4 linked regions of the Schizosaccharomyces pombe genome follow. The gene in region 4 interacts genetically with the main gene of each other region. Each region holds a gene or a part of one and is shown on either strand. Other genes may lie near its edges. The genes, in order: shy1, pzh1, meu10 and bzz1.

Region 1 (8,827 bases), 960 kb from region 4:
CGCGAGGTGCGTGTCTTAATATCATAAAGCCGCGTACAGAGGGGCTGTACCTTTAAACATCAAGTTTTCGAATTTCTAACAACAGAGGATAAATTTATAGAATATTGACAAAGGATGAAACGTTTTTTTAATGTATAAAAAAATCAGCTAAATTCTTGAAACGTCTCATATTTGCATACTCTCATATTGTGGGTTTAATATTCATAGATGTAAGTTTATAAATACCCTTATATAATTTATTTAATCAAAAACTTATTTGATCCTTAGGTTTTCGCCTTTTCTTGAACATCCATAGGTGTATGGAGGCCAAACACCTTTGTACTAGTTTACTCAAACTTTTGGGTGCACTGCGGTATGTCGTACATTGTTAAGCATTATAAGAAATGGTTACAGTATTCGTTAATTGCTCTTACGTAGATACGGTACATGTCGTCAGTTTATTTACATCAAGAAAACCAGAGAATGCCTAACTTATTGACATGTTAACATTTGTAGTCAAATAACTGAAGGGTCGGTGCCTAATAATCTGTATAGCAAATGATTCAAATAGTTTTTTACTTTAGAGCTATATTAGTTTGTTCATGCTTTTTGCCTGATTGCAGGTTGTAGTTCTACTAAACTATATTCAACCATTTATCTTGAACAAAATCCTATGTCAACAAAAGACTTTTAAATAAATAAACTGCACTATTATTTAATTGTTATTGTCGAAAGCGATCAGTAACAGCAGATTAAGAAACTACTTTTTGACCAGCCAACTTGTCGAGTATTAAAACTAGCATTAGTATATATAATTTAATAAATACATTCCGACGATACTGCCTCTATGGCTTAGTGGTACAGCATCGCACTTGTAATGCGAAGATCCTTGGTTCGATTCCGAGTGGAGGCATATACATTATATTATATTCTTTTTCATGCGGAAAAAAGATTTCAAATTTTTGGGTATGATATTAATATGACTGTAACGTTAATAGCAAAGTGAGTGTTAATAATGATAAAATAGCAGCAAAATCTCTTTTCCGAGTAAGACGTTTTCCAGTCTAAATTTGGAGTCTGCAGTTGTTTCGCAATTCTTAATGTATGGTTATACTAAATACAAACTTTAAAGCTCTGATTTATGTTTGCAATAAACTAAAATAAAAGCACAAAAACCTTTACCCATTAATTTCAAACAACTTATAAACTACCGGTAAACTTTTTTTCTAACCTTTATAATTTATAAACTAGAATGTTTAATGTCTACGGCCATACCTAGGCGAAAACACCAGTTCCCGTCCGATCACTGCAGTTAAGCGTCTGAGGGCCTCGTTAGTACTATGGTTGGAGACAACATGGGAATCCGGGGTGCTGTAGGCTATTTTTTTATATCCGTCTTTCTTACTACTTGCCTAACAAGTCATGATGTACTCTCAAAATATGTTTGCATGCCTTGTAATATTGGTTATGGATAGCTCCTTCTGGACTTGATCTTTTGTAGCCAAGAACAATGGGTATAGACTCTGACCTTGTGATGTTGTAGCCACAGATTATAATAGGTATTTTCAAGTACAGTAACAAAAATCTTCTAGTTTTTTTTTAGAAAGGATACACCAAGTATAAGCAAATTCAGGAATTGTTGATTAAACTGTCAACTTCGGTAAAACTTTGGGCATAAGTAGTGTGGGAGCAAGTTTAACTAAAATTCTATTCAGATGTCGAATCCAAACCGCTAATTTTGCTCAACTAGCTTTTCATAAAAACCAATTCATAGTTTCATACTAATAAAGACGATTGTTTACTTTAAAACATACGTCGTAAGAACATATATTGCTTTATCGAAAGATAACAAATGTTAAGCTATTATATTATTTAACTATAGCGCAGATTTCGCTTCCTTTACTTAAAAAAGACATGTGACTTGTAGAAGCTTGGAGTGAATACGCAAAGGTACCTACTTAGACATTCGCGTCTCTCTTAGCTGTCAACATCAACAAACTGGCCCCGTATTGAACAGTATCTTACTTGTCGAAGGATTTGACTAAGAAAATTTTATTTCTTTATAGCAATATTCCGTTTTCGCTTAGAAGATTCTAGTCAATTGCCCTATTCTACTTACGCTTTACAGTAGTATCAGAAGACCTGAGTGGGATTTTGCTGCTAGTAGAGGCCATTCAAGTTAACTCCGTTTTGCAACATTTTAAAAGTTTTTGAATTGAATATAAATATCAATTGTTTGATTCCTTTTAGGATTTAATCTTTTCTTTTTATTTTTGTTTCGATTGAATCTTGGATTCCTGTCTATCATGTTTTGGTGGAAAAGTGCTACTAAATTCACATTCTCAAAGCGTGGACCGTGTGTCTTTCGCTATTTGAGTACTCTTGAAGGAACAACTGTGAGGCCTAAAAAAAATAAATTTTTAGTTGGATTGCTTTCTGCCGTTCCAATTGTCACGTTTGCTTTAGGAACTTGGCAGGTAAAGCGACGAGAATGGAAAATGGGTATCATCAATACACTCACGGAAAGGCTTCAACAGCCCGCAATTTTATTACCGAAAACTGTTACGTACGTTAAGTTAACATATACACAAATTGCACGTTTTGCAATTGAACTGTCGTTTTTTACATTAAGCTAACATAATCACTTAGAGAGCAAGATACAAAAAAACTTGAGTGGACTAGGGTTTTGCTTCGTGGTGTGTTTTGTCACGACCAAGAAATGTTGGTCGGTCCAAGAACGAAGGAAGGCCAACCTGGCTATCACGTAGTAACCCCATTTATTTTAGACGATGGGCGTCGAATTTTAGTCAACAGAGGATGGATTGCTCGATCATTTGCTGAACAGTCTTCTCGAGATCCTAGTTCTTTACCTAAAGGTCCAGTGGTCATTGAAGGTCTTTTGAGACAACATACTGATAAGCCAAGATTTATGATGAAGAATGAGCCTGAAAAAAATTCTTTTTACTTCTTAAATGTTCGTGAGTTTGCACAATTGAAAGGAACTCTCCCCATTTTGATAACAGAACTACAACCATCGCTTACACCGTTGCAAGAAGCCGATCATGTTAAGAGAGGCTTGCCTCTTGGTCATCCTCTAAAAGTTGAAATTTTCAACAGTCATACAGAATATATTATCACTTGGTATTCTCTAAGTGTGGTATCAGCTATAATGCTTTACGTCTATTTTAAGAGAGGTTCAGGCACATCTTCTCTGAATTCTGCATACGAAAGAAGCAAGATTCTAAACAACAAACGATTATAAAAAATTTTCATATTTATAAGTTTCTAAATATTATCTACCTAAAATTTTACAAATTTTGGAAGCTTGCTTACTGCGTCCGTCGTTTGAATGTATGAATCGATCATTCCTTCACCAACTTGTTTTGCAAACTTCGGATCGTAAGGAACCTATTATTAGGAAGTTAGTTCTCATGCCTATAATTTTAATGCTCTATAATCATCACGTACCTGAGTTTCAGATAAATTGCTCAGCCAAGAGTTTGACAACAATTCTGATACATATTTTCTGGCGGCCTTCTTTTTATGCTTCGTAATTCCAGAGATACTTCCTAATTTGTTACTGCTGATGTTTTTAAGAAGTTGGTATTGTCTGGTAAATTCTTTTTTCTTGGTAGCTGACACGTGATATAGGAAGCTGTTTAGACAAGTGATAAGGTCATTTATGATCTATAATTCGGTTAGTTTAGAAATTTTTATATCATTTTTTTTAAAAAAAAAAACCAGTTTGGTAAACTTACTTCAGTGTACTTTGTCAATTGACTTAAAGGCGTGGAGTTCTCATAATCGAATGACTCAATTAAATTTTCAATCGTTTCGAACGAGGAATTTTCGTAGTCTCCGTTCTTGACCTTTACCGAAAGTAATCCCAGTTGGATCAATAATTTCATATGAACAATTTCTTCCGAAGTTAATTGCTTCGATAAATCATTGTTTTCGCACAAAACTTCCATTTCCTTAGCACTTAAAACGGCCTTTTCAAAATCGCCGTTTACTATGCTGTCTTGAACGAGAGAATGACCAATGACAGTCAAATGGATCCAAAGCGTGTCCGGTTTAGGCGAATTTCTTAAACTTTCTTCAACTGTTGGCAATTTATCAGATCCATAATCTGCAAAGACCTTTAAATCTCGATTATCTTTCGGAGATGAACATTTGGGAAGATACTGTTTGGGTGGTTTAAAAGCGGTAAGATAATGTATCCTAGCCCGCTCGACCAAAGAAATGCTTTTCCAGGTACTGTGGTCTAAACGGGATCGGAAATTACGCATATCTTCGATTTGAGAGTAAGCACCATCTTCATAAGCCATAGAAATCATCTCTGGTGTTTCAAACTCATTCGAACCATATATTTTGAGACTTGAGTTAATATAGTGAGAAGTAACAGAAGATGGATAATAGGTAGTAGCACGAGTCAAGAGATAATGATCAAGGGTATCGTTTTGAATTTGCTTAATGGACATAGTGTCGTAAACTTTAGCAGCAGCAGGGAAGCCTCCATCAAGAAGAAGATATAAACGAATAAGGGGTAGCTTTAAATGAAAGTTATGTTGACTATAAGTAATGCCTTTTTCTAAAAGACAGATTGCGTCAAAAATTAAAGCTTGTTTTTCGGCAGGTTTTAAATCCTTATTCCCCTCCCACATATATATCAATGAATGAACTGCTAATAACAAAGCTTCATAACCGTGCGTAAAGTCAGTGGGTAATAAGCCTTTACTTAAAGACAAACCCTTTTCAAATGCGACGAAGCATCTACGCACGTAATCGACAACCGATTCTGCAGTAAACGACTCAAAGAGCAAAAAATGGATCTTCAGAAGCAAAACCTCAGCATATAATTTATCGACTTTTTGAGACTACGACGAGTTAATATTGAAAGATGAATAAATACTTACTTCATTGGATTCACCTAGATCAGCCAACTTAAATGCATCTAATAACCGGTGTTGTGCATCAACATTCAGCTTCAATAGATAAGGTCTCAAATCTTCAAAAACAATTGGTTTCATATACAGCTTTTTGATATAGCCAAGTAATGCTGATTCGTGTTCTTCAGGAAAAAACCGTGCGCTGGCTTCAATCCAAAGTAAATGAAGATTTCTTTTTGTGCTGCTGGTTGACAACGCTTTCAATATACAATCCTTTAATGGGACTAATCTATGGAGAAGTTAGTAATAATGCAAAAAAAAAAACTTACTTTGAATCATCATTGGAAGCACTATCCAGCAAAGCTTTGCAAACCTTCCAATCAGTATTCCCAGTTTGGAAAAGAGAAAGCGAAAACGTGAATAAAGAATCCCAACGCGCACAGGAAGCAAGCAATTCAAGCTTCCTCAAAAGAAGGTCGGCGTCAGCATCAACAAAGCGATCAGCATCTTGATGTATTAAAGCATCTAACGCTCTGTCCTTGTCTCCCACTAAAAGCAACACGTCTAAATAAAGATGAAACTCCTCACAAGAATCGATATAACCTGTTGGTTTTTCGAAAATGAGTTTAGCAGTTTTTTCAGCTAGTGCTTTCAGCAAACGTTGTTCAACCTCATTTTCCGACTTTTTGGACAAAAGATACAAAGATGAGATAACCCATAAGGTATGTTTCCTAGAAGGAAAGTTCTTTTGCAATTCTACAGCAGCCTGAGGAGTTAGTAAAAAAAAAACAAATTAAGATCTTACCTTTCTTTGGTGAGACAATGATTTGATGCGAATAGATGCTTTGAAGTAAGCTAATAAGTTTTTTTCCTGCTTTCCATAAGTTTGCAAGAACTTTTCCCAAAATACAAACGATTCTTCTCCTTCAAATAGTTAATAACTTAAAAGTAAGAGGGTAAAAACAAGTCCATTGAGAAATAAAACGTTGCACTTGAATCATCAAGCTACGAAAAGAACAAAGATCGTTTTTCTTAAGCAAAGTTTAACCGATCAAATAACTAAAGCCTTTATCTCAAGGAAATAGTAGAATATTCAAAATAAAAAATACGACCAAAGTGCTATCAACATTTATGTTCATCTGTTCAATAGAACCTAATTATACTTACCCTTCTTTTGATCATCATAAACAGCTTGTATAATGTCTAAAAGTTCCAAGCTGTTGATGGGAGTCGATTTTAACGGTTCTAAAAGTGCTAGAGCCTCGGGACCACGTCCTGCCTGAGCCAAGGATAACGCTGAATAAACCTAAAAAGGATGTTAACAGCTAAAAACATAACTCGATTACTTACAATTGTTGATTCTTTACTCCCAGAACGACGCATTGTAGTAGGCAATGAAATTAAAGCCCAAACAGTAGTCAGAAGTTGGTAGGTGTTGCAGTCAAATTATTATTCTACAGAGGAGAATATTATAGCCAGCGTGGTAGAATCTGGATATATATCTACTGCAAAAGTGTAATTGCATTGGTTTAAAGGGTATACTATGGTTAAGTAATATATTCACAGCTGTACAATTTACAGTCATAACTAAAACTTCCTTAAGCCGTAAAGAAATACCTGGTGTTGTAAAATTTGTTGTATATCCACGGCATGGTCATATAATGTGATTTTGTGCTCAAATAAATATAAAATATGCATAATTTTTGTACATTTAATTTGAGAAACCCATCTTTTGTTGAGAGGCTGTCAATGAATAGCAGTTTCATTGAAAAGCAGCGGGATGACCAGAAAAGTATTTTACAATGGCAAGGGAGTAGAAAGCTAGCGTAATATTCAGAAAGCTAGGTAATTGAGCAATCCTTTAATTCATTGCTAAGCATGCTAGGTAAACGCAGTAAACCTTTCAGTTTTCATTTAGGTATAAGGCTGTTTAATGAGTATCTCCACTAAATTTAAAGATCAAAACTCAGTATCAATTCTTAAAAGTTTTATTTTATTTAATAATCATATACTTCTCATAATCTTTCAATTTTTTCCCCATTTTGATGATATTTTTATTAATCCTACAGTAAGCTCTATGATATCGTTATTCTTCAAATAGGCTGGTCAGCACGTGGACGGTGTTACTTATCGTTAAATAAATCGTACTAAGGAGGTGCGATGTAAATGATATGCTTGTCAAGTATTAACTGCTCTCCACCAACCGCCGGTTTAACTGATTATTGTTGAAAAGCGCAGACGAAGTTTAGAGAATTACTAGCGTATTTTAAATTTAATCAACGGACTATTTTTTATTCCTTTGAGATCCGACTTTATCGCTTTGCTTCTAATTTTCCAAAATTCAGTCTATCTACGCGATCCAGCCCTGTTTGCGTAAATTTCATATTATTTTTCTTTAAACGTTTGGCTTTAAAGAGGCGCTTTTTTTTTGTTATTTTCTCTGTATAAAAGGTTACATTCGCCGATAGGTTTAATTTCATGACTTGTATTTGTTTTAAATCAGAAACGTTTTATTGAGTTAGAGTTCACAATTGTTAACATCTAACTATCCGCAATTATTTTTTTATTCATAAATAGGATATGCAGCCTTTGCAGTTATCCCCTATAGAACAGCAGGAGTTTGACCGATTGCTTGAGTCTCTCCACCCAGAACAGAAAGATTTAATCCCAGGAAGTGTTATTGGACCTTTTCTTTTGAAGTTTGGTCTTCCTCAAAAGATATTAGCAAAGGTATGTTTAATTCATTCCTCAATCAAAAGCTTTGGGATAGCAGTTTTTATCTCTTAAAGTTTAGAGTTTAAATCTAAGAGTGGAATGTTATAAATTAAAGCGTTGCACTTTCTAAAAGAAAAAATATATATCTAACTGCCAATTTATTAGATATGGGATTATTGTGATCAAGAGGATAAGGGATCACTTGATCGTAATCAGGTTTATGCTTGTTTTCGATTAATTTCTCAGGCTCAACGTGGAGCAACTTTGCAAGAGCTAGATTATAATAAAGGTATGAAAATGCGTTAATAGTTAGCTATATTCTAACATTAATCAGCCGGAGATCCTCCAATTTTACCAAAACAAGCTAAAGACGACCATCATATTAAGCGTTCATCTTCAGAAACGGCTGATTTTACCCCTTTCCGTATCCCCATTAACCCGGACGAGCGTTCCGAATATGAAAAGGAGTTTCGTGAAAATCTTCGAGGACATGAAGATTCAGCAAGGCCAGGCTGTATGCCAAGTTCAATTGCAAAACCTATTCTTTTAAAATCTTCACTTCATTACGCCGTACTCGCTCAAATATGGAATCTTGCTGATTCTGCCCATGTTGGGTACCTTGAAATGTATCAATACGTTATTGCAAGACATTTAGTTGCAATATGTAAACAATACAACTTGATTCATCTTCCACGCTCTTTGCCCGCTGATGTTATTGAATCCGCAAAAAGTGAAACCCCAGCAATGAATACAAATATTGAACAAGGTGTTACTCAGCCATCTTTAGTGAATACTGAGCAACTCTCTCATCAACAAAGCATATCCTCTACCAAGTCTTCTAAATTGGATGAGATTTCCGCAGATAATAATGCTCAATCTGCTGTTGACAACAAGTACTCATCACCCCCACAAACAATTGATCCTCAAGCTAATATAAAAGCCTTAATTACTCCCGAAGATCGGTCTAATTTTTATCAATTATTTTCTAAGATTGACAATGAAAACAAAGGATATATCGTGGGCGGTGAAGCGGTACCTTTTTTTATGGCATCTCATTTAGACTCTGAAGAGCTTGCTCGTATATGGGATACAGTCGACACTCAAGATAGAGGTTATATTGACAAAGATGAATTCGCTGTAGCTATGGAAATTATAAAGTTACGACTCTCAGGTAAATCTCTTGCAAGCATACTTGCATATGACGATAACCCGACTGAACCAACTATGCAACAAAATCTGGTTTC
Region 2 (6,557 bases), on a different chromosome or scaffold from region 4:
CGTCAGTATCGTTTCTGTTTGGGCATCCGGACATATCCTCTTGGAAGTTAGAAGGTAGATAAAGATTAATCACAGTGGTAGCTGAAGCGTTCGTAAAATGTTTACCAAATACTGCCTGTCGTGACCATAGAGTGACATTACGGTCCGGCAGCTGAATGGCAACATCTGTACTGGCCGCAAATCGCTTAGGAATAAATATGTTATCTAACACTCCAAGATCTAAGGCAATTACCTCTAGAAGAATGATATAACTAATGGATGCTAGAATACAAACTATTATTTGATAATACGACATATTAATAATTTACAGAAGGCGTGAAGAGTGGAGGAAGAACGGATACCGCAAGGTGAAGCCGCTTAGTTATATAGCACCTGTATAACGATAACTACAGAGTCACCAAAAAAGGTATGCGTAAGCTATTTTGAGATATTTTATTTTATTTTAAAACCCTTTTCACTAGTAGTTGCCAGGATTATTCAATTGATTAGTAACATTGTCAGCATTAAGGCAAGTTGCAGTGTTCAACAAAAGGAAATCCGATATTTGCGAGGGATAAAAAAAATTAATACAATTTATTCCCAATCAACTTATTTTAAAGACGAAACAGTCAGTAGAAAACAAGCTCTCTTGAAAGATACTTTGTATCTGATCAAAAGAGGTAAATACTTATATAATATTGAAAAGTATCATTGTACTGTATAAAGTTATATAATAAGAACTTAAGATATTTAGCTATATAATATTGTAAACATAAGTCGAGCATTCTCTTGCTCGTTAGATTTCTTATATTATTCAGTTTCAGCAGCTTAAAAACAACATCCTCTATCTTTAAAACAACTTTTAAAAAAGAAGAAAATTCTCTTTATATCTTTGCATAGTATCATACATGGATTATCAGGCATGACAATGAATCTGATAATCGATTATATTTCTACATTGAATCTAAAAAAAAAATTAAAAAAAATTCATTTTACCCTTTACTACGTAGGGTCATTTGTTTTTCCAGTCACAATGGGTCTTTAAATAAGCCAAAATCAAGACATTCTTCTTTTCTTTAATGGTTATGAAAGTCGAAGCACCATGTACCGTTATGTCTCATTACAATTAACTCTGCTTTAGTAGTGTCAAACAGTGTAAATAATTGAAATAAAACGGTTTCTGCATAACATTGAAAGTATAAACTGACAGCTTGCTTTTTCTCAATTCCATTAACATGATATAAAAAATTATATTGACGAAGGTGGGGTTCGAACCCACGCCCACATACGTAGACTAGCAATTGCTTTCACCTGAAGCTAGCGCCATAGACCACTCGGCCACTTCGCCATAACTACTGAATTTTAGAAATTTAGTGTATATATTACTAAACACTTTGAAAGAGCCATTAAACTGTAATCTTTAGAGATTATGTGTGCCTTTATTTAATATATCTGAATTCGTTACTATTCTTCGAATGATTCATTGAACCTTGAAATAATGTGATAAAATATCTTGATTGAACGAAAAAGCTGACACAAACAAAACAACGCAGGAGATTTATCAAAGAACTGCCTACTTGGCAGCATTATGCAACAAAAGTAGCTTACTCATTATACAATAAGGAAACCAAAATACTTATCACAAATGGATCATGGAAAGAAGTACTTAAGTACGATACCACATTCAACTTTAGTTTTCAAAGTGTTGTTTTAAGCCCATCGTATGGGAGATTAGTAATTGATAGAAGATTTACAAAGAAATGGATACATTTTCGCTTTAAATTTATTTAATGCTAATAATAATACTATAATAATTGTTTATTTCCTCCTCATGTAAATTTTTTACCTACTCTTTCGATGTTCAGCAGGTGTCGGTTAGCAAAAATAAAAAGCAAGTTAACTGTCACTATATGGAAATGATTGTGTTTTTATTAAAAGAAACAGAAACTTATACTAAACGTGTCAGGATGGAATTGCCCTCGAACCGATAAAGTGAACCAAGGACTTGATCCATCACCATAGTGACTATAACATAATAACAGATAATACTCATTTAAGAGAATAAAATAGTGTCCCAATAAAACCGCTAGATAATTTCAAATGGAGACCAAAATAGAAAAAATAGAATGCTTACACGCTTTGGGTAACCTGCTCAGCAGGGGGAGATTGATAAATAGCCATACCACTACGCTTGCTCTTTTTTAATTCTCGTCGAATTGCTGCCTGGTCGAGAGGCTTTATAAGTTCAAAGGAACAAAGCAGCTCTGAATTAACACTCATCACGGCCCCCCAATTATCAAATTCCCCACAGTAATTAGGGGCAGAAAACACCGTACATAAAGTTCTGTCATTAAAAAATTCATAACCGTCTTCAACAACCATGTGAGCACGACAGATTAAATCAAAGTCGTGCTTGGCCAAAAATTGCCGGATAACGTTTTTGTTGAAAACAAAAGAAACACCTCGTTCATTATCTTCCCAATCGTTTTCAGTATCAGCAGGATCTGACCATAACAAATCATTCAGCAATCCATAGTCAGGAACGTCAGTAGGACGAGGAATCTCCCGTATGTCATCCATATGACTTAACGATGGAGAAAGACCACCATGAACGCAAAAAATTTTACCGGCTACAACGGACGCAATGGGTAAGCAATTAAAGGTGTTTATGAAAGTCTTCCAAATTTTGATATTGCAACGTCTTTTACACTCATCGTAAAAACCGTAAACGCGAGTGATATTAGCGCATTCATGATTGCCCCGTAGCAAGAAAAAGTTTTCTGGATATCTGATCTTGTACAAAAAGAGCAAGAGGATGGTTTCAAGACTCTGCTTACCACGATCGACATAATCGCCTAAGAATAAATAATTAGAGCTCGGAGGAAACCCACACATTTCAAACAGTCGAATTAAATCGGAATATTGACCATGAACGTCACCAACGATTTTCACCGGCGGGGTCAATTCTAAAAGTGTCGGCTGCGAAAGAAATATTTCTCGTACGGCCATACAAATGCTGGTAATTTCAGCATTCTTTAGACACACACTTTTACTACTTTTTCGAGAATAGCCAACATGGATCAATCTTTGAATCATTTCATCTACGTTAAGGCTAACAACTGTTTCAGGATCATCAGGATCCGTAGAAGAAATTGCCGAATTAGGGATAATTACGGGCCCCTGCTGATCTTGTGGATACACAGGACCATTATGCTCAGAAGCTGAATCAAAGTTGGAGCCAATTGGGCCAGAGCTGGTTGGTGAGGTAGGTGATGTTGGAGAAACGGCATAAGAAGAAGAAGAAGAATGATGATGATGATGCTGGGAAGCGGCCGTAGAGGGACTAAGCATGGCAGGCTGGTTAGAAGGATGCGGCGACGTCGGAGATTGAGAAGAATTTCCCGAATCCTCCTGTTGATGCTTTTGCAACACAGCCGGAGATGTAGCTAATATCCCAGGAGAAGGAGGAGGAGGAAGGCTTGGTGGTGTTTCGGGATACCGGTGACGACTATGGGTTGTATCAGTAGACGTTCGGCGATCATGATTCGAGTCTTTGCCCTTCCCCAGGACTGTTTTCAGAGACTTTAAAGACTTAATGGATCCTTGAGTGTCTGACCGAGAAAAGGATGGGTAGGAATCGAGCTTGCTGTCGGCGTGTTTACTGCTCCCCTGTCCCATTGTATTTCAATTAATGGTAGATTCCGGGAAACTATTCCACTTTGTTCTATTTTTATTTTCTTTTTTACTTCAAAATCGAGACTTCGTTGCTTGCATTTAGTGCCAAAATTAAAAGGTTTCCCAATTGTACCTAGATTTTTTCTATTTTTCGATATTTTCCGTAAATTAGTAGATTTTCTCTTCTTCAAGTAATCCTGGTCTATAAAAATGTTTTGCTTTGCTGACAAAACACAATCGTTTAAAAATTTGTAAGGTCGTGGTGAAGAATGGGTTAACAAGTGATGGGAAGTGTAGTATAAATCTGATAGACGTAGTAGCCCGTTCCATCTTACTCGAGAACTGAACTCGCTGGGTCCATCTAGTGTGGTGCAACGATGATGGCGCACTTACTGTATAATAACTGCAGTGTATTCCAAAGTAAAATAAAAGGCGCAATTGATCCACGTAAATTAACGTTAAATTAAATATGGAAAAATTTCGCGTTACGTTATATACTAGTCTGATTCTTACTCAAATGTTTTTGTTTTGGGTCGATTGGGTTTCTGATTGTGCGATATTCTCTAAACTGTTGTAATATCCATCAAAAGGCAGTTACATCTGTTAATACTAGTGTATAACCTGAGATACCATTTTTGCTGTTCGTTGAACTATTTTTCCCAATTTTTGAGTTTTCCAAAATGCTTATGTTAGACGGTGGCTCTACTGCCATTCTTCCAAAGCTTCCTGAAAGTATATCTGAGTCTAGATTATGGACCTCTGAAGCACTGGTGCGTTATCCAGAGATCGTTGTTAAGCATCATGAAGAATTTTTAAAAGTTTGCGACATTATTAGTACTTTCACTTATCAACTGGATGCTTCTATCTACGACGAAAAGGTAGAAGGTGTACCATTAAAACAGGTTTACGCAAACAGCATTGGGTTACCTGTTTATGCTAGAGAACATTTGGGTTTGCCCAACAAATATATTGCTTTATGTCTCGGAAGTCATGCTGCTACTATTCCTGGATGTATGGAATACAAAATGATTTATGATAAACCCACCGATTTTGAAATGCTATACAATTTTCATAAAAACAGAATTGAAGCCATTCAAGCATCTAATCCTAAAGCTTTCGAAAAAATTGACTTCATTGCATTTGAAAGCCTTCCTCACGTGACTGAAGCAGAAGTAGTATGCCAACTCATTCAAGATATGAAAGGTTGGTCTAAGCGTTGCTGGATCACCTGTACGTGCCCTGAGCGCAGCACTATTGAACGAGTATCGTCCATTATCTCCAAGATACTGAGCATCAATCATGACTCTATATGGGGCATCGGTGTTAATTGCTTTCACCTCAGTTTACTCGAACCCATCGCAAAAATGCTATCCAGTCTTTTACCATCCAACATAACTGCTATTTTGTACCCTGACGGCCGCGGGTTGTATCAAAATCCAGACGGTACTTTTTCACCTGGCTCAACAGATCATCCTGCCCCTTCACCTGAAGAATGGTCAACTATAACGGCTAAATACTCAAATCTACATAATGGAAACCTGATACTCGGTGGATGCTGTGAAACAAATTATAATCACTTATCTTTACTCCGGGAGAAAACGAAGTAAATTATAACCATTTTAATTAATTTTCCTCATGATATTAATATATTTGTATTGAATTAATTTTTTTCTTGTTTAAAGTATTTACCTCAAAATATATATTTCTTCCCAATATCCCAAAATCCATTACAAATGTATCTAATCTACTGCAAAAGATATCAATCTAATAACAAAAATCCAAAACTCAATGTACATATAAGAATCTAATTAGGTGCCTTAATAGGATTAATGACTTTACCACGTTTGGTAACAACTCTGGGAGCAACAGCCTTATGATGTGAAGCTCGAGTAGTCCATTCTGGTCCCATAGGCAAGTTAAGAGATCGTTCATACTGTTCTCGTGATTCAAATGGGAACGGAACACTATCAGCAGTAAGCTTAGCAGCTTTCTTGTTGCGTTTTTCATTAATAATCACATGCTTTAGCTTAGAATCCTTCCGCTTTGACGGATCTAGTCCAGCAATTTTTTTAACCTTAGGCTTAGTCTTTCTTTGTTTTACGCCAACACCTCCCCATGAACCCCAACCGGGCAAACTATGATCTTCTTCTTTCGGTGCATCCTCTTGAACCCAGTCTTCTTTATCCTTTTCAAATTCAGCGACAACATCGTCGCCAGCAAATGCTTTAGCAACAAGCTCTCTCTGCTTAATTGACAAACGACCTTTGGTTGGCTTTAACATAGGTACCGAAACATCAACATCCGATTCCGCTTCCGACGCTGATTCAAAAGCCTTTTCTTCAAAAATTAAATCAGGCTGAACTTTAGGTTCTTCGACAAGTTCTTGAAGGGAGGCAACTTTGTCCATTTTTAACTTGTGATTCTTTTTGTCTGCCTTAGAGCTGTTTTTATCCAACTTTTTGGCAGAAGAGGTCCTTTGGTCAGGTACTTGCAACCATGGATTAGTTTCCTCAGTTGCTTCTAATGGTGATTCCTTTTTTTTTCGAGCTTCGGCCTTCTTTTGTCCTTCCTTCATTTCCGGTTTGTTGACTTTCAGCACCGCTGAATCAGAAACAAAGGGATTTTTCCTTGATGGCAAAGATAATTTTGCAGCTTCTTCGGAAGGCTTAAATGAACGACGGCCTGTATTATTCCCTATTAATACTCCAGGAACCCCGTCCTCTCCTTTTTGAGATGTATCATCTTCATTGGGTACTCCTGCGAGTTCGTCTTCGAATGCTTGCATTTCATCTTGCACTAAAGCCTTTTGTCGATTGGACGCATCACGCATAAATTTCATGCCCAGTACACCTTTTAACTTTGGTTCCTCTTCATTTCGTATTTTTTCAAAAGCGGTTGACACC
Region 3 (7,293 bases), on a different chromosome or scaffold from region 4:
TGGATCCTCCGTCGACGGTAGTAGGATATTGTTGAAACGATTGATTTGGCACATCGGTTCTGGACAGGGGTTGTTGAAAATAAACAGATGATCTATCATAAGGAGGCATCATTGAAGGAGACTGCTGATAGTATGAAAGTTCTGCATGATCTTGCGAATAACTTTTTTCCTTCTCCTGGTAAGTGCCAAATGGAACACTCGGAGAATAAGGAGTAGGAAACCTTGAGGACGGAGAAGAGATGTTGCTTTGAGCAGCCTGATAATCGTTTAAAGAAATAAAAGAATTTTGATACTGACGGTAATTATTGACTGTTCCCAGTACAGAAGCTTTTTGTGGTGGTTGTAAATTTTGAGATTGAGAGGGGATGCTCTGCTTGGAAGTTGAGGCATAATATTGATTTGGAGAAGAATTACGAACAGAATCAGACGATGGAACATTGCTGTTCATGTTGACCTTTAATGCAGAGGTAGGTCGAAAAGAGGGGACCGGATGAGCAGGAATCAGAGGTTTCCGTTGTAACTCATAAGGATAAGAGAATGCATATTCATCATGATTTGGGACGGGTTGATGAGTTAGGCCTTGCGAAAGGTCATGCTGAGAAGAGAATGACGGAATAGTGGTATTAGAGGAACCATTTTGTTGTAGATTTTGATAATCTTGCATTTGGTTTAAAGATGGGGACTGAGTAGGGAGAATATTTGAGCCGGTAAAGGAATACGCATTGGGTTGAGAGGAATGGTCAGGAAGGACAGAGTAATTGTTTTCAAAAGTTGCTGGCGGATAAGGATGCATCTCATTGGAAGGATTCATCGTTGTATAAGGTGTGGAATAGGTTTGGGTGTTATCCTGTGAGTCCTCCTGAGGTAGACCAAAAGAATGAAATGAAGGATTAGCAAATGCTGTGCCATCTGCGTTCAACGCTTGAGATTCGTTTTTTTCCGAGTAATACGGACTCACTGAAGACGTGGAGTGGGCCTTGGAGCTACTGATGGCGGGTGAAACCGAGTCTCCATAGATGCGAACGGGTTCCTGTAAAGAGGTGGATTTGGCGAGTGAATACAATTGTGGAGACTCTAAATTAGCATTGATGGATCCTATTGCTGTAGCGACTCTTCTTATGTTCCTAGTTGAATCATAAAACTCCTGTGTTTTAATATCTTCGGAAGAAGGACGTTTCTGAACGTTTGGGGACATAGAATTTGACGAAGGTGAAAAGGATGCAATCTATTATATCCGTTTGGAAATTTTAAAACTTTTAAAACAAGCCTTTCACCTCTACAGCTGAATTTAAGAGATCCGTGGACGTTAAGTTTAAAAGTTCATGTACGCGCAATGTCTGGTATTTGATGAGCTGAGATCACTTAACTTTCCCTCAACATTAATTGCAACGAACAGGATGACCTATCAAGGGTAAAAAGTAAACTATTTAGCTAGCGTAAAGGTTGTTACAAAAGTGTTGTGTTTTCGTACAAAGTCAGGAACCAAATTTCTTAAGTCAATTCATTAATTTTTGTAGCAGTCCTAATCTTCCTTTTTTTTCTTTTTATTATTTACATGATTCCCTAATTCGGAGAAGTAAAATGTTAATCCGGTATTACTTGGATATACAGCCTTACGACGTTACCGAAAAATCGTTAAACAACATGTACTTTGGTTTTTCCGATTTTGCCTATAGCACGAATTGAGTGTGATATTAACGGGAATACCACTGAAAATAGAACGGCCAACAACTGTGACTTCGCAAAATTTTAACTGTTGGATGTCCAAATGGTGCAGAATGTTTTCATACCAACCACGCACGTCCACTTAGTATTCCCAGGATGGTAAATTGAAAAAATAAAATGCACGATAGGATAGGTAAGCCTCTTAGCAAGACCGAAGATTTGGCTTCCGTTGGTGACATTCGAGACTCACTTTGAATATTAAGCAGATGAAGTTTTGCCGCTTCTTAAATTCCTGATAGCAATTACGTACAAATTTTTTTGCTTGTCGGCGCCTTTTTAGGTCCGTTGTCGGTTGACACCTCAACGATGCCAATTCTCGACTTTTGAGCTTGCGAAGGAGATAAAAATGTTTTAAATGAAAAGGTTAAAAAAAAGGTTTAAGATTTTAAAAAATTTAAAGCAAGCAGTTTTCGGGAATCAAAATAATGTATGATGAGGATTTGCAGCGAATCCTAGATCCAACGGATGAGTCCTATTGATTAGTCAGTTATAATAATCCAAAGTAAGTTTTTCCAGTTATGTTCAACTTGTGCAGTTTTACGTTGACATAGCAAATGTTGGTAATCAACGAAGTAAACACTCTCAACATTCAACCAGTCAAGTTGAGCATTGTAAAATAGAGACAATCCGTGGGTCACTTATGATCAACTTTCCTCCGCAACGGACGCTATACCCCTCAATGGGATAATGTTACCTCGTGTAGAGAAAAACAATGAAAAAGTCGATCGCATGACGTTGCTGACATTGTTTACTAACATTGCAAAGTAAATAAATAAGTAAACAATTATACCAAGTAGGTTTGTTTACATTATGAAAAAAAAAAATTTTAAAGAGTTGCGTTGATTACTTTCTTGGTATTTACTCTCGTTATTTTTCGCTGTTCATTTGTGTTTGTTATTGTTGAAAGTTGTTGTTGATGGTAGGTGTGGTGCAGGCTCAAGGCCGTATTTATAAATGAATTAACGAATGTGTGAACCGCATATAGTCCATTAACATACATTCAACTTATTACTTAAGATGTTTTTAGTAATTGGGGTGTATAAACCTGAGTAACTTTTACCATATTAAGATGAGTTGGGCGGTTTCGAAATCTATAAAAGGGCATGCCAGTGAGTAAACTACCTGGAAATAACCGCTACATTTTTATTCCTTTTAACAAAAATCGTATAAATAATCCATTACGAAGAAAGACTTCGCTCTGTCCTCTTTTCTTACCCAGCATATATATACATAAACTTTTGTTATATTAGCATTCGTTTAAGGCACTTTTTCTTGTCCAAACTTTAATCAACAAGGAAATCATAAACAATTAAAGGTTCATCATTTCCAAACCCTACAAAGACCCGAATTCATTCTTCAGTATTCATAATTTCATTTCCAATCCCTTCCTGCTACGACAAAAATTTTGGTCGTACTTGATAGATTTTATTGCTTTTATTATCCCTAACAACTTTTCCCTCCTTTATATTCATTCTTCATTTATCATAAAATGCGCTTGTCTTCACGCTTTTATTTGTTTACCAGTTTCACTGCGTGGAGCGTAGTGATCGCTGGTGCAACCCCAGCGGTTTGTGGTGCCCCCGAGTACATTATTGAGACACAGAATGACTTGGACGTTTTAAGCAACTGTCAGGTTGTGAATGGCTCTATCATCATGAACACTAGCTCAGCTACTTCTTTGAATTTCAATAGAATAGAGACCATTACCGGTGATCTCATCATTCGTAATAACAACTACCTTGCATCGGTAGCCCTGACATCCATTTCCAGTGTGGGTGGAGAATTACGGTTTGAAAAACTCACACGACTCGCTAGTGTTTACGCACCTCAACTGGCAAATGTTGGCCAATTAACGATGCGTATCTTGCCAAATCTTCAAGGGATTCGATTCGATAAGGGGATCAAAAAGGCCCATAAGCTCACCATCGAGGATACCCAACTCTCCACACTTGCAGGTATTTCTTTGAATACTACGGATACGATGGTAATTGTTAACAACAATTATTTGCGAGAAGTTGATATGCCCTATTTGGAAAGTGTGGAGTCGAAGTTTTACGTCTCTTACAATGCCAGGGAGATCAGTGTTACCCTTCCTAGACTTAAAACCGTGGGTGACATGACGATTCAACGCGTAGCTCACTTACAACTTTCGAATTTAGAAGAGGTCAAAGGATTTTTAGGCTTCCTCAACAGCACGTTGCAGGATATATCATGCCCAAACATTACACGAATTGGACAGTCTCTTTTCTTTATAGGCAATCAGGAATTGACTTCGCTAAATTTCAAGCAACTTGAGAGCATTGGAGGTACTTTTATGATTGCCAACAGTGCAGCATTGGCACAAATCAAAGGATATGATAAATTGAAGACCGTAGCAGGATCCATCGACTTTACCGGTAACTTTAGCAGCGTTGAACTTCCCAAGTTACGAGATGTTAAAGGAGGTTTGAACATACAAACTACATCGAGCGACTTTACTTGTCCCTTCCGCCAGAGCGACGGGATCATCAAGGGCAAATCGTTTGTTTGCCGAGGATCGGTTGACAATCCCAGACAAAGCAAGGAGTCTTCTTTCGATGATGACGATTTTGATGAACTGTTAGGAAATGGAACAATTAAAGGCTCTAAGAACAGTACATCACCGGTCAAACAAAGTGGTGCCGCTAAGGTAGATAGCCGACCTTTCCGTCTTGTTACCTTTTTCCTTGTCTTAGTAAGTGGCTTTGCGCACTTGCTTTAAAGCCAAGAGAGACAAAGTTGACAATGTAAACGCAAGTTCATTTGCAAGATCGAAATCTACCCTTCAAAGCCATGCCGTCTATGATTAACCTGTTTCTATTTAAAAAGTAAATAAATGCTTTCAAAATAATTAGAAGGAAGATTTTCAACCAACAAGGATTACAAAAAAAAACGGCGATAAGTTTCGTTGCTTCATTTTGGATCACTTTACTATTTGCTGTTCCTTAATGGACACAGTGAAATGACGAGAAACCGGTTTTCAGTTGTTTTGTTGTGAGTATGGATAGTGAACACTTTTTCTTACCAATGGTTGGCTTTTCCTCGGTTTATTTATTTATTTTTTAGTACGGTTAGGAGAATGAAAAAAAAAAAGTATTTTTAGTGACTCCAGGTTCTATTGGCTTCTTATTTTTAAAACAAAAATATTCATCATTATTCTTACTATCACAAAACTACCAGTTATTATGTTTGTCTATCGATAACAGCACGCTACTTTTCTAGATGAATCATTTGTTTGTCTTGTTGTAGAGTAAAAGGCAATTTTTTACTAACAGTTAAACCCGCGCGTAGATGGTACTAATTTTATGCCATGAAACATATGATTTAAGTGGGATAAAAACGGAAGTACGAGAGCTGAACAATTTATCTGACAGGCATCCAAATGAATTAATATATAAACCAAGGAATGTGAAATTACATGAGTGAGTCAAGCATGCCTTTCGTCGTTTGTTTAGTCAACTAACAATTAGTGGTATTCAGAATGCAAAAAATATTTTTCTTTGTGTTGCCTCGGGTGTTTCAAGCCTTATCCATCCGAGGCACTCGTGCCTGTAAAAAATTGCAATCGGATAGAAGGAAGGTAAGGAAAGTGGATGAAATTTTTACGCGAATGCGGAGGAAGGCAAAATTTCTTGAAACAAAGTTGGTCGAACCTTGTTAAGTAGTAGAGAGTGTATATGAAGTATGGAAAAGAAAGAGAGAAAGGATGACTTCTCAACGAAAGATGAATTTGGCAATCACAAATGTTTCATATTTGGTTGTCAAGTTTAAACGACTTGCAACCGAGCCGATCACTGAAACAATTTCCAATGATCATAACTAAACGATCCTACTACTTACTGATTTGACGTAATTTGTCCTTTTGTTAATTTTTGGACGGTTTGGATCAAACATTTGAAGTTGCAAATATGATAAACTTACTGCTTGATTAAAAAAAAATAAATAAAATAAAAAAATTAATGATAGAACAACAATGATAAGAGAGCATCATTCATTATGAATGAGAATGTGTTTCATTGAAGCAATAGTTTTTGTGAACATACAAGGAGTGTTGTGATGAAAGAAAATGCAATTTGCCTTTCCAGTTTCTGATACTTCGTAAAGATGATGCTTTTTGGCTTTTGCTTTGTTTAAGGGTAACAAACTTGTGAATTGCCCAAAGCAGAGATGAATAATTTGAAATGAGTTTGCTACGAATTATCTGTATTTATGAATTAATGAAGGATGGATCTAAACCATTTAACAGGTGTAAATAAAAGCTTCATAGATTCTGTATAGTGATTAACAGTTTTTTGGAAAAATAATTTAAAAAAAAATTAATAATAATAATAATAATTTGGAAAAATAATGTTAGAATAACATACCAAAAATACCAGTATATTCAGACAATATGTTTTAAAACTTAAAAATGATTGTAGAGCAATGATTTTAATTATAGCTACGATTAGAAATGTTAAATGTTATTATAGTGTTAGTTTTGCGTTCGATTTAATTTTTGGTACACACGGGATATAACAGTTTGATTAAGCATTACCAATAGAGCAATGCAAGTTAAGAGGTTGTTTAAGCATGTTGTTGTCTAAGAGACTCACAAAAAGGTAGGTAAATGGATTTATTGCTAAACGGAAAATATTGATTTGAAAATTAAATTTTGGTCGTACATACTTTATTCGTAACAGATTTCATCAAAATTTTCACCTACAAAACATTGGAACTCAAAGTGTGACTGAATTCACAATAAGTAAATAATTACACTTCATAGCATACGATCCATTATTTTTTTATAGGTAAGGAATTTATTAAACTTTCCTTGATACCAATCCTCTTCACATAAATATTTATTTAGCGATCGCGTCGTTTTCCAGCGGACGTATGATTAATAGTTTGGTAAAATTGGTTTTTTAAAGCTTAGAACGGAACGGTTTAATATAACAAAACCACGAAACAATGGGTTTTTCGTTTTCCATCCTTTTTTAAAAAAGTTCATCACTCTCAACAGTGAATGCCACTCTCTCTCTAAAAAAAAACAGCGATTTGCTAAATCCTTTAGACAGGAATTACAGCTTCATCACGTAGTTGATATCTAGCCGTACACGTCTATTTACCCTCTCCATCTATCCTACCGTGAACTTGTTAAAAATTGGGATCGCCCGTTTTTTGTCAACAAAAACAAAACAAACTCTGTCGCAGTATTCATTAAAATGTCTCCGGATCCACACGAAAGCTTTAATGGTTATTAAAGGTTTTCATCATCCGTACATTCACTTGCTAAACAACGTTTTCAAGCTAAGCGATAGATAGAGACAGTAAAGGGGAAAACGTAAACGAACGTCTTCATTAACCAAGGTCATCCGTCTACAAAATACCCTGTACATATTCGCACCAAATTAGCGATAATGACTACAAGCGATCACAGTTGTCAAACGGGATAAACGAAATATATGCTTAATTTGATAAGACGACAAATTAAATCAAGCTCAAAAGAAGATTTATAAAGTACGCCATGCTAAAAAAAAACCCCTTGCTTCCTGACATCGTACAAAAACTAAA
Region 4 (6,963 bases):
CATGACAAAATTTTCCTAAAAGCAAAGTTTGCAACGTTTGTATTTGCTTGGTACTACAACCTTACTTACTTGCTTTTGTGTGTCTTTATTGTTATTTAGAAGTGAAAATGTCTGTTCAAGAACTTTCTCATCCTCTTATTAAAGATGGTTGGTTTCGTGAGATCAACAACATGTGGCCTGGTCAAGCCATGACCTTGAAGGTTAAAAAGGTTTTATATGCAGGAAAATCAAAGTATCAAGATGTTTTGGTCTTTGAGAGTGAAACTTATGGACATGTTTTGGTTTTGGATGGTGCTATTCAAGCCACTGAGCGCGACGAGTTTTCTTACCAAGAAATGATTGCTCATCTTGCTCTAAACAGTCACCCCAACCCAAAGAAAGTTCTCGTTATTGGTGGTGGTGATGGCGGTGTACTTCGTGAGGTGGTCAAACACGAATGTGTCGAAGAGGCTATCTTGTGCGATATTGATGAAGATGTCATTAAAGTCTCCAAGCAATACCTTCCTGAGATGTCCGCAGGTTTCAATCATCCCAAGGTTAAGGTACACATTGGTGACGGTTTTAAATTTTTGCAAGATTATCAAAATACTTTTGATGTGATTATTACAGACTCTTCCGATCCTGACGGTCCTGCCGAAGCCTTGTTCCAAAAACCTTACTTTCAACTTCTTTCCGATGCTCTTCGTGGAGGCGGTGTCATTACTACTCAAGCTGAGTGTATGTGGATTCATTTGGGTGTCATCAGCAATGTCTTGACTGCCGTTAAAACAGTTTTCCCCAATGTTCGTTACGCATACACTACTATCCCCACCTATCCCTCTGGATCTATCGGCTTCGTTGTAGCCTCCAAGGATGCTTCCATCGACCTTAGCAAGCCTCTTCGCAAGTGGTCTCCCGAAGAAGAGAATAAGCTTTGTAAGTACTATAACAGTGAAATTCATGCTGCTTCCTTTGTTCTTCCTACCTTTGCTCGTGATGTCGTTGACAAGGCTACCTCCTCTTAAGCAAACATTTTTATTTTTTTTGGCTAAAGTTTCATACGTCTTAATCAATGCAATCTTAAGTCAAAATGTATACTCTTTTTTCTTTGTTTTCACACTTCTGCTCTCTACTTTTTGTAAGTGAGATTACGTTCTCTTTCGGTAGTTGATATGCAAAAAAACCAGTGAAATACCAGCATAAGTAAATAATATTCCTTTAGTAATTGGTACCAAGAAACCTATGTATTAAATAATCTCTAAAAATCAACATGCTTTACATTTTAAGTGCATTCTTGACAACTTTTTCAAGCTCTTCGTAGTCATCTGTAGGCACTCGCGTGATGGGACGTTGGAAGTATTCTTGAATGGCGTTCATTTCTTCCCAACTCTTTTTATCGTGAACAAAATTGATACTTACTCCAACACGGCCGAACCTACCGGTACGACCTATACGGTGAAGATATGTTTGTGGATCGGGTCTTCCTGCTTGATCTAAAGGCATATCATAGTTTACAACCAAGTTGACTTGCGATACGTCGATACCCCGAGCAATTACATTCGTAGTAACCAAAACCTTTGAAGTACCTACTCGGAATGAATCCATAATAGCGTCACGTTGTGCACCTTCCAGATTACCGGTAAGACAAGCAACAGTGTGTCCATCTGCAGTCATACGCCTAGCAATTTCTTCAGCGGTATCCTTTTTCTTACAAAATATAATTGATTGACCAATAGTCAATAACCCATATAATTCCACTAAAACATTATATTTATGTTCTTCACTTTGGCAATCCATATACAACTGCTTGATTCCCTCAACAGAAAGCTCCTCAGTCTTCAGACGAATTTCATTAGCATTGGGAGCAAAACGTTCAGCGTACTTTTCAACGCGTTCCGAAAAGGTAGCACTGAAAAGAACAATCTGAGTGTTTCTAGGAAGAAGGTGCTTGATACGCATAGATTGATCTCCTAATCCTTGCTGATCTAACATGTTGTCTGCCTCATCTAACACGAATACTTTAATATCGCGAGCGTCAAGCTGTCTTCTCTTCATCAAATCCATCACAGTGCCAGGCGTTCCGATTACAATTTGAGCATCGATTTTTGCACCTTTAGGGACGGAGTCTTTAATACCAAAAGCTGTTTTTACTTCAGTATATTTGCCCATCTCCGTCACGACATCCATAATCTGACGGGCCAATTCACGAGAAGGAGCGAGGCAGATAGCTTGAGGTTTGGGAACAGAAGCATCAACACGAGAAAGCATCGTTAATGCAAATGCAGCGGTTTTACCAGTTCCGGATTGTGATTGTCCGATCATATTGCGAGGAGGATTTGAGAGTAAAAGTGGAAGCGCCTTCTCTTGAATTTTTGAGGGTTTTTGGAATTTCATTGAATAAATTCCCTTTAATAATTCGGGCTTGAGCTCCAACTCTTCAAAACTTTTAACAGAAAAAAGAGGTGAGTTTGGATCAGCCTGTAGATCTGCTAATTTTACACGAACCTCGTTTTTATTTGGTATTAAATTAGATTCATCATTTTCAGATTGCTTCGTATTGGCGTCCTCTGCAATCGTGTTGGTCGCTTTGTCTTGCTCAGATTTTGCATCAACATTCTCAGTGATTTTTGGACCTAATCTGTCACTTAAATTTGTTGCTTTTTGATCTTCATTTTTATTTTCTGAAGTATTTAACTGATTGACTTTATCACTAATTCTTTGAACCTCTTCATCAGAGTCCAAACTAGCCCAGTCAGTTTTGCTTTCCTGTCCCAGTGTAGTTGACATTTTGGATGTTTTTTAGTAAAAAAAATAAAAAAAATCAAATTTATAGTTCAGATATCCAAACTCAGCAAGGATGACTTAGCAAACTGGATGACAATTTCTGGTGGGCAATGTAGTTGGTGATTGCTAAGTTACTCCTTAAGTGAAAGTTGAACAATATAGGTTTCGATTCACCACCGTACTTCCTTTTCATCAACATTCGTAACGTAAAGCCAAAAATTGTCACAATTTCTTCCGTCAAACTTTCTTTTTAATTGTTTTATATCCGGTACAAATTTTTATTGCAGCGATATCAAACGTGTAGATAATACTGGATAATGAGCCTGGAAACATACAAATTTAGTGATGAACTTCACGTAAGGTGTTTTAGTTATTTGGCATATTTACTAATATATAAAAGGACGATTTTAAAGTTGTCGACAGTTGGGTATGCCAAGAATGAAAATGAAGACAGTTCAACAATTAACACATTGTAACAAAGATTAATAATGGCGCGAAATGGCTTGAAGATATTCAATTGTACTACAAAGAAAGAAGTTCTATTGGTAAATAAGAAACGACAATGGTTAAATTTCAATGACTAACTTTGTTGCTAGAAAAAGAATATGCTCAGAAATTAGCCAGTCTTTCGAATAAATATGGGGAGAAGAAATCCAGAAAATCATCAGCCCTTTCAGTCGGAGATACTCCGGCAATGTCTGCTGGCTCTTTAGAATGGTATGTAAAATATTGGAACCTGTCAAGCAATTGAAGTTAGATGGATATTGAATTCCTGTTCACAGGCTAATTTTATAGTGCTTCTTTAACAACATGGTCTAAAATTTTGGATGAGTTAACGCGCTCATCAAAAACTCATCAAAAGCTATCCGATGACTATTCATTGGACATTGCTGAAAAACTGAAGAAACTAGAGTCTCATATAGAGGCTTTAAGAAAAGTTTATGATGATTTATATAAAAAATTCTCATCCGAAAAGGAGACATTGTTAAACAGTGTGAAGAGAGCCAAGGTCAGTTACCATGAGGCCTGCGATGATTTAGAAAGCGCAAGGCAAAAAAACGATAAATATCGAGAGCAAAAAACTCAAAGAAATTTAAAATTATCTGAAAGTGATATGCTCGATAAGAAAAATAAATACCTACTTCGTATGCTTGTATACAACGCCCACAAGCAAAAGTTTTATAATGAAACTCTACCAACGCTCCTTAATCATATGCAAGTATTGAACGAATACAGGGTTTCGAATTTAAATGAAATATGGTGTAACAGCTTTTCAATTGAAAAGTCTCTCCATGATACCTTATCCCAAAGAACCGTTGAAATTCAATCAGAAATTGCAAAAAATGAACCAGTCCTTGATTCTGCCATGTTCGGAAGGCACAATTCAAAGAATTGGGCACTTCCTGCTGACTTGCATTTTGAACCTAGTCCTATCTGGCATGACACGGATGCACTGGTGGTGGATGGTTCATGTAAAAACTACCTCCGAAATTTACTGGTCCACTCCAAAAATGACCTTGGAAAACAGAAAGGCGAGCTTGTATCGTTAGATTCACAATTGGAAGGTTTACGCGTCGATGATCCAAATAGTGCTAACCAGTCATTTGAATCTAAAAAGGCTTCGATAAATCTAGAAGGGAAAGAGCTCATGGTAAAGGCCAGAATAGAAGATTTAGAGGTTCGTATCAACAAGATCACGTCAGTTGCGAATAATTTAGAAGAAGGAGGTCGTTTTCATGATTTCAAACATGTTAGTTTTAAACTTCCGACAAGTTGCAGTTACTGTCGTGAAATTATTTGGGGGTTATCGAAGCGTGGATGTGTTTGCAAAAGTACGAAATATTTGCTTTCTTTCGTTAACTAACAAAACACGTGTAGATTGTGGCTTCAAATGCCATGCAAGGTGTGAACTTCTTGTTCCCGCCAACTGCAAAAATGGTGAGCCCGAAGTGGCCGACGATGATGCTGTAGATACCAGTGTTACTGCCACTGATGATTTTGATGCTTCTGCGTCGTCTTCAAATGCCTATGAATCCTATCGTAACACATACACAGATGATATGGATTCAAGTAGTATTTATCAAACTTCCTTAAGCAACGTGAAAACAGAAGAAACAACGCCTGCTGAACCAGCGTCAAAGGTTGACGGTGTAGTTCTTTACGATTTTACCGGGGAACATGAAGGGGTAATCACAGCTTCTGAAGGACAGGAATTTACGCTACTTGAACCAGATGGTAAGTAAAGCTTGAAAAATCCCATTCTAATAGATCAATATAGATGGCTCTGGTTGGGTTCGAGTAAAAATCGATGGAACTGATGGCTTGATTCCAGCTTCTTATGTTAAATTGAATGATGAATTAAATACGAGTGTGACACTTGATGGAGATTCTTCTTATGTTAAGGCGTTATATGCATACACAGCTCAATCCGATATGGAATTATCAATCCAAGAGGGTGATATAATTCAGGTCACAAATCGAAACGCTGGAAACGGATGGTCTGAAGGGATACTTAATGGAGTGACCGGTCAATTCCCAGCTAAGTAAGTCTTTGTTTTTTTTTTTTATTCATTTCTCCATTTCTTTGCACAAAAACTAACATATGTCTTAGTTATGTTACAGATGTATAAACCATTGAAATATCTATATGAATATTATCTACTTCATTGTTGATAAATTTTACCTTCTTTATGTATTACGAAAAGCAAATTGTCAATAATAACTTACGATTTTTTATCCACTACAATGTAGTTGGTCGATACACCAAAGTATTTTTTTGCTAGATTGATCTTTTTTTTTTTGAATTTTAGATATTTATAATAACTATACTAAATGCTATGCCTAAGGAAAATTTTTTAAATTGAACTATGCTATATTTTTTTCGTTAGTAACCAAAATTTATGTTTACTGAAGAATACAGTTTCGCGTTACGAGAAAATTGATCAACAATTTTTTAACGAATACATACAAACACATTGTCATTACAACAGAGAGGAATCGAAGGATGTGATATGTCATCGTACATTTTCAAAAGTAATCTGCAAATTGAAACAAACATATAAACGACATGTGATATTGGAACTAAGTCTAAAAACATTCCCGATAACGAAGGGAAAACTTTCATGAAAGGTAACGAAAAAGAGAAAAAAGCCAAAATGGTGAAAATATAAGGAAAAAAAAGTTGTGTGTTCAATTCTTCTATACTTTAATTATTCGTAATGATCTTCGTCAACTCGTATGTCTTAGCGCCGTCGTCAAACTTGGACAAAATGCGGCTAGGAGGATATCTGCCCTGGACAACACCCAAGAAAGCATCAAATTCATTATAATAGGGATCATCTTCGGGGAAATTAATAATGCGTTCGCTATCAGCCTCAGGAGAACGAATGTAAAGTCTGGGTTGACCGTAAAAGTCAACCATACGAACATAATGACCATCTGCTTGAAGCTCTAGACAAGTGTCATAATTCGTTCCTTGTAAAATGATACTATGAGCGAGAATACCAACTGCACCCGACTTATATTTCCATGATGCAGCGGTGAAACGGGGGATGCGCTCCTCTTTGGGAATGGACTCCTCGTCAACAGGAACCTTAGCTAATTTTCCACAAGGGTCGTACCAGTTTACACGGTTTACCTTGACGGTAGAAGTATCGACATCACCACCGAAATAGATGGACAAATCACAGAAATGTGTAGCTTGCTCAACGACGGGACCACCAGACTTTGACATGTACCACCAGAAAAGTTTGTTATTATGTTCGTAAGCAGAGTTATATCTTGCAATGGTACAAGCGATGTTCAAGTTATTATCGGCAACGTATTTCTTGGCGGCTTGAACGATCTTTAAATAACGGAACATATAACCAATTGAAATGATAGCATGGTATTTCTCCAATTCATGTACGAGGTTAAAAGCACCTTGGACAGGAGCACTAGTAATAGGCTTCTCGATAAATAGAGCAGCATTGGGGTATTTTCTTAAAATTTCCAACTCCATGTCCATACCCGGAGTTGTGCAGCCATGGAAATCAGGAGGAATGCCAATGAGATAAGCAGAAGGGACATCCTCAGGATGGGAATCCAAGTATTCCAAGTACTCAGTTACAGAGACATACGTCTTGGTGTTTTCATAAGCGAAAGCAACGTCAGATGCACATTTAGACTTCAAAACACGCTCGCTTTCGTTAATTAAGGGGT

The links.
Region 1: mutations in bzz1 (region 4) and shy1 together harm fitness less than expected from each alone (positive genetic interaction), as found in Schizosaccharomyces pombe (one large-scale study listed by BioGRID).
Region 2: mutations in bzz1 (region 4) and pzh1 together harm fitness less than expected from each alone (positive genetic interaction), as found in Schizosaccharomyces pombe (one large-scale study listed by BioGRID).
Region 3: mutations in bzz1 (region 4) and meu10 together harm fitness less than expected from each alone (positive genetic interaction), as found in Schizosaccharomyces pombe (one large-scale study listed by BioGRID).

What each region holds. Positions count from the first base shown.
Region 1 is NC_003423.3:1,503,133-1,511,959, forward strand, and holds shy1 (cytochrome c oxidase assembly protein Shy1), read left to right. Parts: upstream 1-1,965; 5' UTR 1,966-2,285; coding exon 2,286-2,545; intron 2,546-2,628; coding exon 2,629-3,241; 3' UTR 3,242-3,279; coding exon of another isoform or gene 3,280-3,387; 3' UTR 3,388-3,447; coding exon of another isoform or gene 3,448-3,666; 3' UTR 3,667-3,737; coding exon of another isoform or gene 3,738-4,856; 3' UTR 4,857-4,895; coding exon of another isoform or gene 4,896-5,157; 3' UTR 5,158-5,197; coding exon of another isoform or gene 5,198-5,634; 3' UTR 5,635-5,673; coding exon of another isoform or gene 5,674-5,792; 3' UTR 5,793-6,035; coding exon of another isoform or gene 6,036-6,174; 3' UTR 6,175-6,218; coding exon of another isoform or gene 6,219-6,251; 3' UTR 6,252-6,319; downstream 6,320-8,827. Other genes in the region: NatB N-acetyltransferase complex regulatory subunit Naa25, read right to left, coding at 3,280-3,387, 3,448-3,666, 3,738-4,856, 4,896-5,157, 5,198-5,634, 5,674-5,792, 6,036-6,174, 6,219-6,251; UBA/EH/EF hand domain protein Ucp8, read left to right, coding at 7,449-7,598, 7,749-7,872, 7,918-8,827.
Region 2 is NC_003424.3:1,525,855-1,532,411, forward strand, and holds pzh1 (serine/threonine protein phosphatase Pzh1), read right to left. Parts: upstream 3,919-6,557; 5' UTR 3,658-3,918; coding exon 2,110-3,657; 3' UTR 1,711-2,109; downstream 1-1,710. Other genes in the region: rnf13 (RING finger protein), read right to left, coding at 1-295; SPOM_SPAC57A7.07C (homocysteine methyltransferase), read left to right, coding at 4,335-5,261; U3 snoRNP protein Utp14, read right to left, coding at 5,459-6,557.
Region 3 is NC_003421.2:1,865,652-1,872,944, reverse strand, and holds meu10 (GPI-anchored protein Meu10), read left to right. Parts: upstream 1-2,849; 5' UTR 2,850-3,214; coding exon 3,215-4,465; 3' UTR 4,466-5,165; exon of another isoform or gene 5,166-5,223; 3' UTR 5,224-6,029; downstream 6,030-7,293. Other genes in the region: DNA-binding transcription factor, CBF1/Su(H)/LAG-1 family Cbf12, read right to left, coding at 1-1,195.
Region 4 is NC_003423.3:2,463,093-2,470,055, forward strand, and holds bzz1 (diacylglycerol-binding protein Bzz1), read left to right. Parts: upstream 1-2,935; 5' UTR 2,936-3,080; coding exon 3,081-3,119; exon of another isoform or gene 3,120-3,163; coding exon 3,164-3,190; exon of another isoform or gene 3,191-3,244; coding exon 3,245-3,308; exon of another isoform or gene 3,309-3,359; coding exon 3,360-3,480; exon of another isoform or gene 3,481-3,558; coding exon 3,559-4,595; exon of another isoform or gene 4,596-4,641; coding exon 4,642-4,998; intron 4,999-5,041; coding exon 5,042-5,306; intron 5,307-5,374; coding exon 5,375-5,393; 3' UTR 5,394-5,647; downstream 5,648-6,963. Other genes in the region: srm1 (spermidine synthase), read left to right, coding at 108-1,004; ATP-dependent RNA helicase Dbp5, read right to left, coding at 1,255-2,766; SPOM_SPBC12C2.04 (NAD-binding dehydrogenase family protein), read right to left, coding at 5,969-6,963. UniProt on the Schizosaccharomyces pombe protein: Plays a role in endocytosis and trafficking to the vacuole. Functions with type I myosins to restore polarity of the actin cytoskeleton after NaCl stress.